3 linked regions of the Stegostoma tigrinum genome follow. The protein of the gene in region 1 interacts with the protein of each later gene in a pairwise test. Links are inferred from orthologs where the notes say so. Each region holds a gene or a part of one and is shown in the gene's direction. Other genes may lie near its edges.

Region 1 (3,747 bases):
GGGAGTGCCGCACTGTCGGAGGGTCAGTGCTGAGGGAGCGGGCACTGTCGGAGGGTCAGTGCTGAGGGAATGCCGCACTGTTGGAGGGTCAGCACTGTGGGTGTGCCGCACTGTTGGATGGTCAGTGCTGAGGGAGTGCCTCACTGTCGGAAGGTCAGTGCAGACGGAGTGGGCGCTGTCGGAGGGTCAGTGCTGAGGGAGCGGGTGCTGTCGGAGGGTCAGTGCTGAGGGAGTGTTAGACCATAAGACATAGGAGTGGAAGTAAGGCCCATCAAGTCCACTCCGCCATTTAAATCATGGCTGATGGGCATTTCAACACCACTTCCCTGCACTCTCCCCGTCGCCCTTGATTCCTTGTGAGATCAAGAATTTGTCGATCTCTGCCTTGAAGGCATCCAACGTCCCGGCCTCCACTGCACTCTGCGGCAATGAATTCCACAAGTCCACCACTCTGGCTGAAGAAATGTCGTCTCATTTCAGTTTTAAATTTACTCCCTCTAATTTTAAGGCTGTGCCCACGGGACCTAGTCTCCCCGACTAACGGAAACAACTTCCTAGCGTCCACCCCTTCTAAACCATACATTATCTTGTAAGTTTCTATTAGATCTCCCCTCAACCTTCTAAACTCAAATGAGTACAATCCCAGGATCCTTAGCCGTTCATCATACGTTAAACCTAGCATTCCAGGGATCATCCGTGTGAATCTCCACTGGACACGCTCCAGGGCTAGTATGTCCTTCCTGAGGTGTGGGCCCCAAAATTGGATACAGTATTCTAAATGGGGCCTAACTAGAGCTTTAGAAAGCCTCAGAAGCACATCGCTGCTTTTATATTCCAACCCTCTTGAGATAAACGACAACATTACATTCGCTTTCTTAATTATGGACTCTACCTGTTGGTTTTAAGTTTGCAAAATTCACAAGATTGTGTAAAGCTTCCACCTGAGCGTAAATAAAATTAAGTATAAGTGTTGTATTCAACAACAGGAAGAGAATGTGGAATCTGCATCAAACACTCAGCAATGATCCTATTGAAGGGAGGGGCTTTGATGGGCTGAATGGCCTCTTCTCCCTCCCCATTCCTGCGGATCCTTCACTTTCGGGGCCCCAACCCAGATCCCGCCCTCCCCATGAGTGACAGCACTCCATCCAACCACTGCACGGGCAAAATGGCGTCACAGCGTGTGGACCAATAGGAGTGTGTGTGGGTGTGTGTAGTACTAGGCCCCGCCCCCCGGCCCGGGTTGCGCGCGCAGCCGGGGCCCTCTAAGATGGCGGCGGTTCGTGTCCGCCTGGTGTTCGAGTACCCGCCGCCGCTGCTGCCGGCCTCCAGGATGTGCTGGTTACTGGTGCAGCCCCAGCACTGCCGGGTGGTGGCCGACCTCGAGAGTATCATCCGTCAGCGCTTCGGCTTCAGCGCCAGCAGCACCCGCCTCCACCTGTTTGTGGACAGCTGCCTCCTGCCCCCCAACGAGAGCATCCACCTGGTCCGGGACAACGACTGCATCAGGTCCCGGGGGTCGGGGGGAATGAGGTGGGGGCGGGGGGGGGGTGTGGGAATGGGGGTGGGATCGGCGGGGGGTGTGGGATCGGGGTCGCCGGGGCGGCAATGGGGGCGGGATCGGCGGGGGGGGGGTGAATGGGGGCGGGATCGGCGGGGGGGGGGTGAATGGGGGCGGGATCGGCGGGGGGGGGGTGAATGGGGGCGGGATCGGCGGGGGGGGGGTGAATGGGGGCGGGATCGGGGGTGCCGGGGCGGCAATGGGGGTGGGATTGGCGGTCGGTGGTGGGATCAGTGGGGGTGTGGGCATGGGGGTGATGGAATGGTGGGAGGGAATGGGGGCAGGATTGGTGGGGGGGTATGGGGGTGGGGTCAGCGGGCGTGTGGGAATGGGGGGCTAGGTCGGCGGGTGTATGGGAATGAGGGTGGGAATGGTGGGGGGTATGGGGGCGGGGTCGGTGGGCGTGTGGGAATGGGGGTGGGGTCGGTGGGGGGTTTTGGAATTGGTGGTGTGTGTGTAATGGGGGGGGGGCGGATAATGGATGTGGGATCGCACAGGTGCGCGAATTGGGGTGGGATCGGTGGCGGGGAGAATGAGTGTTGAAAAGCTGGGGGCTGGAATGGTAGGGAGGTGGAATGGCGTGGTGTGGGATTTGCTGGGGTGTGGAATGGCGAGGGGTGGAGAATAGGGTGTGGGATCTGCAGGGCTGGGGAAATCCGGGTGGGATTGGCAGCGGGGAGAATGGGGGTTGAAACGCTGGGGGCTGGATTGGCGTGGGGTTGGAATTGTAGGGAGGTGGAATGGTGTGGATGTGGGATTGGTGGGGGTGTGGAAGGGCAAGGGGTGGGGGAATGGGGGTGGGACTGGCAGCGGGGAGAATGGCGGTTGAAATACTGGGGGCTGGAATGGCAGGGAGGTGGAATGGCGTGGGTGTAGGAGTGGGTGTGGGGTTTGCAGGGGGATAGTGGGTGTTGGAATGGCAAGAAGGTGGGTTGGCGTGGGGGTGGGATTGGCAGGGGGGAGAATGGGGGTTGAATTGGCCGGGGATGGAATGACAGGGAGGTGGAATGGTTGTGTGTGTTGGATTGGGGGTGGGATTGGAGGGTGTGTGGGAATGGCGGGGGGTGATCGGGGGACAGGATAGAGTGATCGTGGAATGGGGGGGAGATCTGGAATGTGGGAGGGTTGGGGGGTGCAGAGTGTGAGGGGGGGAATGGGGCAGAGAGTGTGGGGAATGGGCAGGGTCCGAATGGGGGAGGGGAAAGCTGCGAGGGGGAAATATGGCACGCGACAGATGAGGAAGAATTGGGAGAGAGGGATGAGGAATGGAGGTAGTGAGAGACGAGCTGGGTTGTTCCAGCAACTTCTGCTTTTGTTTCTGATTTACAGCATCCGCAGTTCTTTTGGGTTTGGACAGAACTACCTAATGCCACCAAGCACTGAGCCTCTGTTCTCTGCACATTTTCTACGTATTTCCCCATTCGTGTTATTGTTGCATCGACATGCAACTACTGCAGTAGTTTCCTTCCACATTGATGTTATGTCTGTAATTTGGATGAGAGGATTAAATATAAGATTTCCAAGTGCGGTCTCAAAAAGTGCCAAGCATAGATGGAAAGGCAGGTTGTGAGGATGAGAGTCTGCAGAGGGATATAGATAGGTTATGTGAGTGATGGAATATAATGTGGGGAAATGAGGCTATCCTCTTCGGAAGAATAGAGAAGCTGAATATTACATTGTGGAGAAAAACTGTAGAAACCTATAGAACAGAGGGATTTATGAGGCCTATTGTTTGCATCAGGAAAAAAAATCATCCAAGCTCAGCAGGTAACAAGTGAAATAGATGAGATCCTTTATTTCAAATGGAATGGTGTATAAAAATAGCAGGTTTAGCTAAAACGATCCAAACTAGAATTGGAATATTGTGATGAGTTGTGGTCCCTTGTCTAAGGAAAGATATATTGGCATTGGAGAAGGTTCCTGTGGTTGATCCTGAATGTGAAGAACCTATCTTGTGAGGGGAGTTTGAGTACGTTGGACAAGTGCTTGTTGCAGTTTAGAAGAATGAGAGGTGACCTCCTTGAAATATATAAGATTTTTATAGGACTTGACAAGGGATATGTACAGAGACTGTTTGCCCTGCAAGACAGTATAGACCGTGGTTGGCATGGTGGCTCATTGATTAGCACATCTGCTTCACACCGTCAGGGACGCGGGTTCAATTCCACCCTTGGGCGACTCTGTCT
Region 2 (3,747 bases), on another chromosome or scaffold:
TTCACCAATTCCTTTTTTGTTAAACACAAACTGGGCCTGGCGGGAAGAAACCGTGAGTCAGATTTAGGCCTTCTTTTCTGAATGCACTCATCACGTGGCATTGCATGCATTGGACCTATATCTGATCCCTCCCGGTACCACTTCCCTCTTGGCATCTCCAAGACAGTTGTCATGAGCTTCTTGACACCAATGTCTCTTCTGCTGGTAATAGCCTATAAAATATCTAATGAAAGGTGTTGCAAACTGTTTGGATGTCCAAAGTGTCTGATACAGTGATGTCCCCACCCCTGGTCTAGAAGATCTGTATTCAAGTCCCACCTCAAGGTTTGAAGGTCATGGGGTTGTGTCACAACATAACGAAACAGCCTGCTTAAAACAAAACACAGCTCTGGTTGGAGATATTGGGGCGGGGGGGGGGGATGTCATCACATGTCCTCTCACTTTCAACACCAGGCACTGTTCACCCCCAACATGTTGATCATCACGGTGCCTGAATCTTGCATGACCTTCCAATGAGTTGATTGGAAGAAACTGTTCTGTAAAAGGTTTGAAACACACCAGTCACATACTAGACGTACTCATCTTTTTTACATCAACATGGAGAGATCAGTCTGTTCATTTCCAAGTATTATTGATTTCTTAATTTAACAGACTCTTCTCTCTGGGAGATTTGAAGTGCTTTGCAAAAGAGGCAAGTGTGATGTAAGAAATAAAAACTTTTCGCACAGCAAGTAGTTTGGTTCTGGAAATACACTATCAGCAAGTACGCGAGAGGCAGGTTCGACTGAGGCAATGAAAGAGGACATTATTAAAATCGAAAGAACGGGCAGGAGACAAGTCATGGTAACAAAGTGTGAAGCTGGATGAACACAGCAGGCCAAGCAGCATCTCAGGAGACAAGTCATGATGCTCAGGGAGCCAACGCAGGCATGATGGGCTGAATGGTCTCCCTCCACTGTTCTCTGATTCAACGATCCTTGGTTCACTCAGGCTTTTGAAAATCTGGCCACCCGACCCCCAAACCCACCCCTGACCGCTGCCCATTGGCTTCGTCTCGCCCCTGAACAGGGCTCACCCTTTCATCTCTGTCTGTGCCGTCCTCCTGGAGATTTTACTGCAAACACCAATACTGACTGTCAAGACGCACCAGAACCTGGCTCCCACCCCAGACCTGTTGTTGTTATTAATCGTGTCAAATGTCTCTGTGGTACCTGCTGTAAAAGATCCTTGGCCATTACTCCACGGGGCTCAGCTGCACAACTCTGAAGGTTCGCTTACGGCCTTTCGCCGCCGAGCTGTCGGTCTCCGTGGTAACCGCCACCCAATATGGCGGCGGGAGGGTGAGAGGTGAAGGGTTACGGTTCCCAGCAGGCCCTGCTCCCAGCCTTTGGCGCTCCTCCCCGCGTGTGTCGGTCTCTGACACAAAGTTCGTCCCGTTCCGGAGCAGCCGTCATTCCGTGTCCGTGTCCGAGCCGAGCCGTCCCGTTCAGACCATCCCACTTCCTTCCGACTGTCCCACAGGCGCCGGCATGGTGAGGGAACCTGCCGCGTACACGCACAGCCCGGGGTGGCGGAGGCTGGGAGCGCTTGCGGCCTGGTCCGTGAGGCTGCACCGGCACTGAAGTTAAACCCTCCCCCCGAGCCCGCATCGCGAAACCGTCCCGGGGGCCGGGGGGGGGGGGAGGGTGGTGCGTGGGTATTGATCTGTAACTTCCCTCCCTCATCGGAAAGGTGTGTTCGGGTGGGGGTGGGGGTGCGGTCTGTTTCCCCGACCTCCCCCCACCCCCACCCCCACCCCCACCCCCACCCCCACCCCCCCTCTTCCCCCACCCCCCCTCTTCCCCCACCCCCCCTCTTCCCCCACCCCCCCTCTTCCCCCACCCCCCCTCTTCCCCCACCCCCCCTCTTCCCCCACCCCCCCTCTTCCCCCTCCCCCCCTCTTCCCCCTCCCCCCCTCTTCCCCCTCCCCCCCTCTTCCCCTTCCCCCCCGACACCCCCCTCTTCCCCCCCCCTCTTCCCCCCCCCCCTTCCCCCCCCCTCTTCCCCCCCCCCTCTTCCCCCCCCCCCTCTTCCCCCCCCCCCTCTTCCCCCCCCCCTCTTCCCCCCCCCCCCTTCCCCCCCCCCCCTTCCCCCCCCCCTCTTCCCCCCCCCTTCCCCCCCCCTTCCCCCCCCCCCCTTCCCCCCCCCCCTTCCCCCCCCCTTCCCCCCCCCCTTCCCCCCCCTTCCCCCCCCCCCCTTCCCCCCCCCCTCTTCCCCCCCCTCTTCCCCCCCCCCCTCTTCCCCCCCCCTCTTCCCCCCCCCTCTTCCCCCCCCCTCTTCCCCCCCCCCTCTTCCCCCCCCCCTCTTCTTCCCCCCCCCCTCTTCTTCCCCCCCCCTCTTCTTCCCCCCCCCTCTTCTTCCCCCCCCCCTCTTCTTCCCCCCCCCTCTTCTTCCCCCCCCCCCTTCTTCCCCCCCCTCTTCTCCCCCCCCCCTCTTCTCCCCCCCCCCTCTTCTCCCCCCCCCCTCTTCTCCCCCCCCCCTCTTCTCCCCCCCCCCTCTTCTCCCCCCCCCCTCTTCTCCCCCCCCCTCTTCTCCCCCCCCCCTCTTCTCCCCCCCCCCTCTTCTCCCCCCCCCCTCTTCTCCCCCCCCCCTCTTCTCCCCCCCCCCTCTTCTTCCCCCCCCCCTCTTCTTCCCCCCCCCTCTTCTTCCCCCCCCCCTCTTCTTCCCCCCCCCTCTTCTTCCCCCCCCCCTCTTCTTCCCCCCCCCCTCTTCTTCCCCCCCCCTCTTCTTCCCCCCCCTCTTCTTCCCCCCCCTCTTCTTCCCCCCCCTCTTCTTCCCCCCCCTCTTCTTCCCCCCCCCTCTTCCCCCCCCCCCTCTTCCCCCCCCCCCTCTTCCCCCCCCCTCTTCCCCCCCCCCTTCCCCCCCCCTCTTCCCCCCCCCCTCTTTCCCCACCCCGACACCCCCCTCTTTCCCCACCCCGACACCCCCCTCTTTCCCCACCCCGACACCCCCCTCTTTCCCCCCCCCCGACACCCCCCTCTTTCCCCACCCCGACACCCCCCTCTTTCCCCACCCCGACACCCCCCTCTTTCCCCCCCCCGACACCCCCCTCTTTCCCCCCCCCGACACCCCCCTCTTTCCCCCCCCCGACACCCCCCTCTTTCCCCCCCCCCCGACACCCCCCTCTTTCCCCCCCCCCGACACCCCCCTCTTTCCCCCCCCCCGACACCCCCCTCTTTCCCCCCCCCGACACCCCCCTCTTTCCCCCCCCCCCGACACCCCCCTCTTTCCCCCCCCCCCGACACCCCCCTCTTTCCCCCCCCCCCGACACCCCCCTCTTTCCCCCACACCGACACCCCCCTCTTTCCCCCCCCCCGACACCCCCCTCTTTCCCCCCGACCACCCCTCTTTCCCCCCGACCACCCCTCTCCCCACCCCGACCACCCCTCTCCCCACCCCGACCACCCTTCTCCCCCCCCCCCACCCCGACCACCCCTCTTCTCCCCCCCCCCACCCCGACCACCCCTCTCCCCCCACCCCGACCTCCCCTCTCCCCCCCACCCCGACCTCCCCTCTCCCCCCACCCCGACCTCCCCTCTCCCCCCACCCCGACCACCCCTCTCCCCCCACCCCGACCACCCCTCTCCCCCCACCCCGACCACCCCTCTCCCCCCACCCCGACCACCCCTCTCCCCCCACCCCGACCTCCCCTCTCCCCCCACCCCGACCACCCCTCTCCCCACCCCGACCACCCCTCTCCCCACCCCG
Region 3 (3,747 bases), on another chromosome or scaffold:
CCCTCCCCACCCTTGTCTGCTTTCCAGAGAGACCACTCTGTCCGTGACTCCATTATCCGCTCCACTCTCCCCTCCAGCCCCACCACACCCGGCACCTTCCCCTGCAACCGCAGGAAGTGCTACACCTGCTCCCTCACCCACATCCTAGGCCCCAAGATGACTTTTCACATCAAGCAGATGTTCACCTGCACATCTGCAAATGAGGTATACTGCTGTTCGCATTGTGGCCTCCTCTACATCGGGGAAACCAGGTGGAGGCTTGGGGATCGCTTTGCAGAACACCTATGCTCAGTTTGCAATAAACAATTGCACCTCCCAGTCACGAACCACTCAACTCCCCCTCCCATTCCGCAGATGACATGTCCATCCTGGGCCTCCTGCAGTGCCACAATGATGCCACCCGAAGGTTGCAGGAACAGCAACTCATATTCCGCTTGGGAACCCTGCATCCCAATGGTATCAATGTGGATTTTACAAGCTTAAAAATCTCCCGTCCCCCCACTGCATCCCAAAACCAGCCCAACTCATCCCTGTCTCCCTAACCTGCCCTTCCTCCCACCTATCCCCACCTCCCACCTCAAGCCCCACCCCCATCTCCTACCTACTAACCTCATCCTGCCCCCTTGACCTGTCCGTCCTCCCCGGACTGACCTATCCCCTCCCTACCTCCCCCACCTACACTCACCTTTCATGGCTCCACCCCCGCCTCTTTAACCTGTCTGTCTCCTCTTCACCTATCTTCTCCTCTATCCATATTTGATCCATCTCCCCCTCTCTCCCTATTTATTTCAGAACCCTCTTCCTCGCCCCCATTTCTGATGAAGGGTCTAGGCCTGAAATGTCAGCTTTCCTGCTCCGAAGATGCTGCTTGGCCTGCCAGCTCTACACCTTGTTATATCGGATTCTCCAGCCTCTGCAGTTCCTATTATCTCTTATGCAGACGATGATGTGTGTCTAGAATTTGCTGTGTGAGTTGGTGATGGAGGCAACGGCTCTAAACTCTTTTCGAAAGTCCCCGATCTGCGCCTGAAGTGCTGTAATCTGCAAAACTATGGGTTGTGTGCAGGAAGGTGGGATTGCAAAGGCATTTGGGTCAGCACAGGCAGGATGGACTGAATGGCCCCTGCTGTGCTGTTTCATTGCTCTGGTTAGACAGCAACCCACCCACACCTTGTAAAGGTTGAAATTAGGAAATGGGTAACAAGTCTTGACCCTGTAGTCTCTGAGACCCACCTCATGCCCCTCCTCCCACTTTGGAGGTGAAATTGAGAGAAACAGCGCCCCCCGCTGCTCTCAATTCCTCACCGCAGGCCCAGTACGGCACGCATGCGCAATCTGCCCGCGGGACATCATTTTCTCCCCCCCCCCCCAGCACATGCGCAGTGGGCTGACGCTGGGAGAAGTTTCCAGAAGCGGAGTTTCCGTCCCCACGACTCATTCTCGGAGACGGCGCCATGATCATCCCGGTCCGCTGCTTCACCTGCGGCAAGGTGGTCGGCAACAAGTGGGAGGCTTACCTGGGCCTGCTGCAGGCCGAGTACACGGAGGGGTGAGTAACAGCCGGGGGCGGGGTGGGCGGGGAGAGGCCTGGGGCCTGGGGCCTAACAACAACAACAACAACACCGGCCTCGGGCAGCGCCCGCACCTTCCATCCAGACTCTGGCCGGACTCACTGGGACAACGGGGAGGCCCGGTGCCACGATGAGTGCAAAGCCCCGGGTTAATGTTCCGGGGAAACAGGTTTGAACCTGGAGTGAAGAGTCTGGTGATGAACCCCTTGCCAGTTTGTGAGAAAACCCCACCTGGTTCGCTAATACCCTTTGGGGGGGGGGGGGGGAATCTGCCACCCACACCATGGCCTGGTCTACATGTGACTCCAGACCCACAGCAGTGTGGGTGACTGGGCTCCCCCCTCTCTGGGCAACTAATGCTGGTCAAGCCAGTGACACTCAGGTCCCGCGGGTGAATATAAAACAAACTTGGACAGAGCGCCAACAGTGTCAGCCTCAGAGATAGTAGAAACTGCAGATCCTGGAGACAGTGAGATAACACCGGCCTGGAGCTGGGTGAACACAGCAGGCCAACCAGCATCAGAGGAGCAGGGAAGCTGACCTTTCGGGTCTGAGCCCTTCTTCGTGACCCGAAACGGTACCCTTCCTGTTCCTCCGATGCTGCTTGGCCTGCTGTGTTCATCCAGTTCTCCACCTTAGTATCAGCCTTGGTCGAATTTATGAAAAGCCAAGATATGGCCAAGTGGTACATCTGTATGAATTAGGAGTCAAAGTAGGGAGTATTGACCCTTGAGCCAGATGTTTGGAATGCTGTGAACTGATTTAGAACCCTTATCAACAGAAAGACACGTTGCCATTGCAGGTGATCCAGAGAAGGCTCTTGAGGCTGATCCTGCTTGTGGAGGGATTTTCTTGAGATGTTGAGTTGGCTCAGCCAGAACACTGGACTCAGAAGATTGGCTGGGTGGCCTCATTAAAGCAAAAAGTTATTGGAAGGTGGGGACGTGGTGTTGGCATGACGGGTTGGATGCTAAGAAGTTGTTTCTCCATCTTGGAGAGTCTAGGACTAGAGGGTATAATGACAGACTAAGGAATTGCTCAGTTACACCAGAGTTGAGGAATCTCTTATGAGGGTAGTGAATCTGGAATTCTTTCCCACAGATTCTCTTGCTCAAGTTTGAGACACAGATTTTTAATCAGTAAAGGAATGAAGGATTGTAGGGAAACAGCAGGAAAATGGAGTTGAGTTATCAGATCAACCATGATCTCATTGAATAGTGGAGCAGACTTGATGGGCTACATGGCCTTGTTCTGCTCCTGAGACTTACAGTCTGTTCTGTAATTCAATAAGATCATGAGATAAATTGGGAAGAGACATTTTATACACCCACAGTAGGGTGGTGGAATGTGTTTAAAAAACAGTTTGTTCAATCAGTTACGAATTTTAAACTGTGGTTCATGCAAGTCCCCAAATAAGGATTAGGGGCAAAAGTCCCTCTATGGAAGCATAGTCATAATACAGCACAGAGAAAGGCTTTTTGGCCCAACAAGTAGGCTCGGAACGTCAGCTCTTGAGCTCCTAAGATGCTGTTTGGCCTACGGTGTTCATCCAGCTCCACACTTTGTTACCTAATTATTCTAATCCTGTTTTTCTACATTTGGCCATAGCCATGTATGCTTTGGCATCGCAAGTGCAAATCTAAATATTTAAATATTACAGTGCCTCTACCTGCCAGGTCTGCAACCTCATGGCCCAATATATCCCCAACTCTTAGTAACACCAAGCAGGGGATCAACCTTAGGTCAATGCAGAGTGCAGTAAGGTGTGTCAGAGCATTTCCACGTTATCCTAAAAGTGAGCTGTCAACCCGGTGAAGCTATGAAACAGGACTATTTACAAATCAAGAGGCATAAGCAGCAAGAGATAGACAAAGCTAAGTGATTCAAAACCAGCGGAATCAGATCTAAACTGTACAGTCTTCCTGTATCAAGTCATGAATGGTGGTAGATAATCAACGTCGCCCTTGAAGAGGGGGCTCCACCATTATTCCCAGCACCAGCGCAGAAGATAAGGCTGAAGCATTTGCAACCATCTTCAGTCAGAAATGCTGAGTGGATGGCACATCTTGGCCTCCAGTGGTCTTTGGCATCTCAGATACCAGTCTTCAGCCAATTTGATTCGCTGCATGTAATGTTCTTTGTTGATATCACAGCACAGAGAGAGACCTACCGAGTC

Evidence for each region.
Region 2: the proteins of coil (region 1) and snrpf interact in binary tests that used the Homo sapiens proteins (3 or more experiments, as listed by UniProt). The two-hybrid records come from large-scale screens. The link is inferred for Stegostoma tigrinum from reciprocal best matches to the Homo sapiens genes COIL and SNRPF.
Region 3: the proteins of coil (region 1) and polr2l interact in binary tests that used the Homo sapiens proteins (3 or more experiments, as listed by UniProt). The two-hybrid records come from large-scale screens. The link is inferred for Stegostoma tigrinum from reciprocal best matches to the Homo sapiens genes COIL and POLR2L.

Annotation. Positions count from the first base shown.
Region 1 is NC_081375.1:3,303,433-3,307,179, reverse strand, and holds the start of coil (coilin), read left to right. Parts: upstream 1-1,254; 5' UTR 1,255-1,270; coding exon 1,271-1,533; intron 1,534-3,747. UniProt on the Homo sapiens protein: Component of nuclear coiled bodies, also known as Cajal bodies or CBs, which are involved in the modification and assembly of nucleoplasmic snRNPs.
Region 2 is NC_081378.1:51,004,351-51,008,097, forward strand, and holds the start of snrpf (small nuclear ribonucleoprotein F), read left to right. Parts: upstream 1-1,307; 5' UTR 1,308-1,529; coding exon 1,530-1,532; intron 1,533-3,747. UniProt on the Homo sapiens protein: Plays a role in pre-mRNA splicing as a core component of the spliceosomal U1, U2, U4 and U5 small nuclear ribonucleoproteins (snRNPs), the building blocks of the spliceosome.
Region 3 is NC_081391.1:22,282,218-22,285,964, forward strand, and holds the start of polr2l (DNA-directed RNA polymerases I, II, and III subunit RPABC5), read left to right. Parts: upstream 1-1,374; 5' UTR 1,375-1,454; coding exon 1,455-1,549; intron 1,550-3,747. UniProt on the Homo sapiens protein: DNA-dependent RNA polymerase catalyzes the transcription of DNA into RNA using the four ribonucleoside triphosphates as substrates.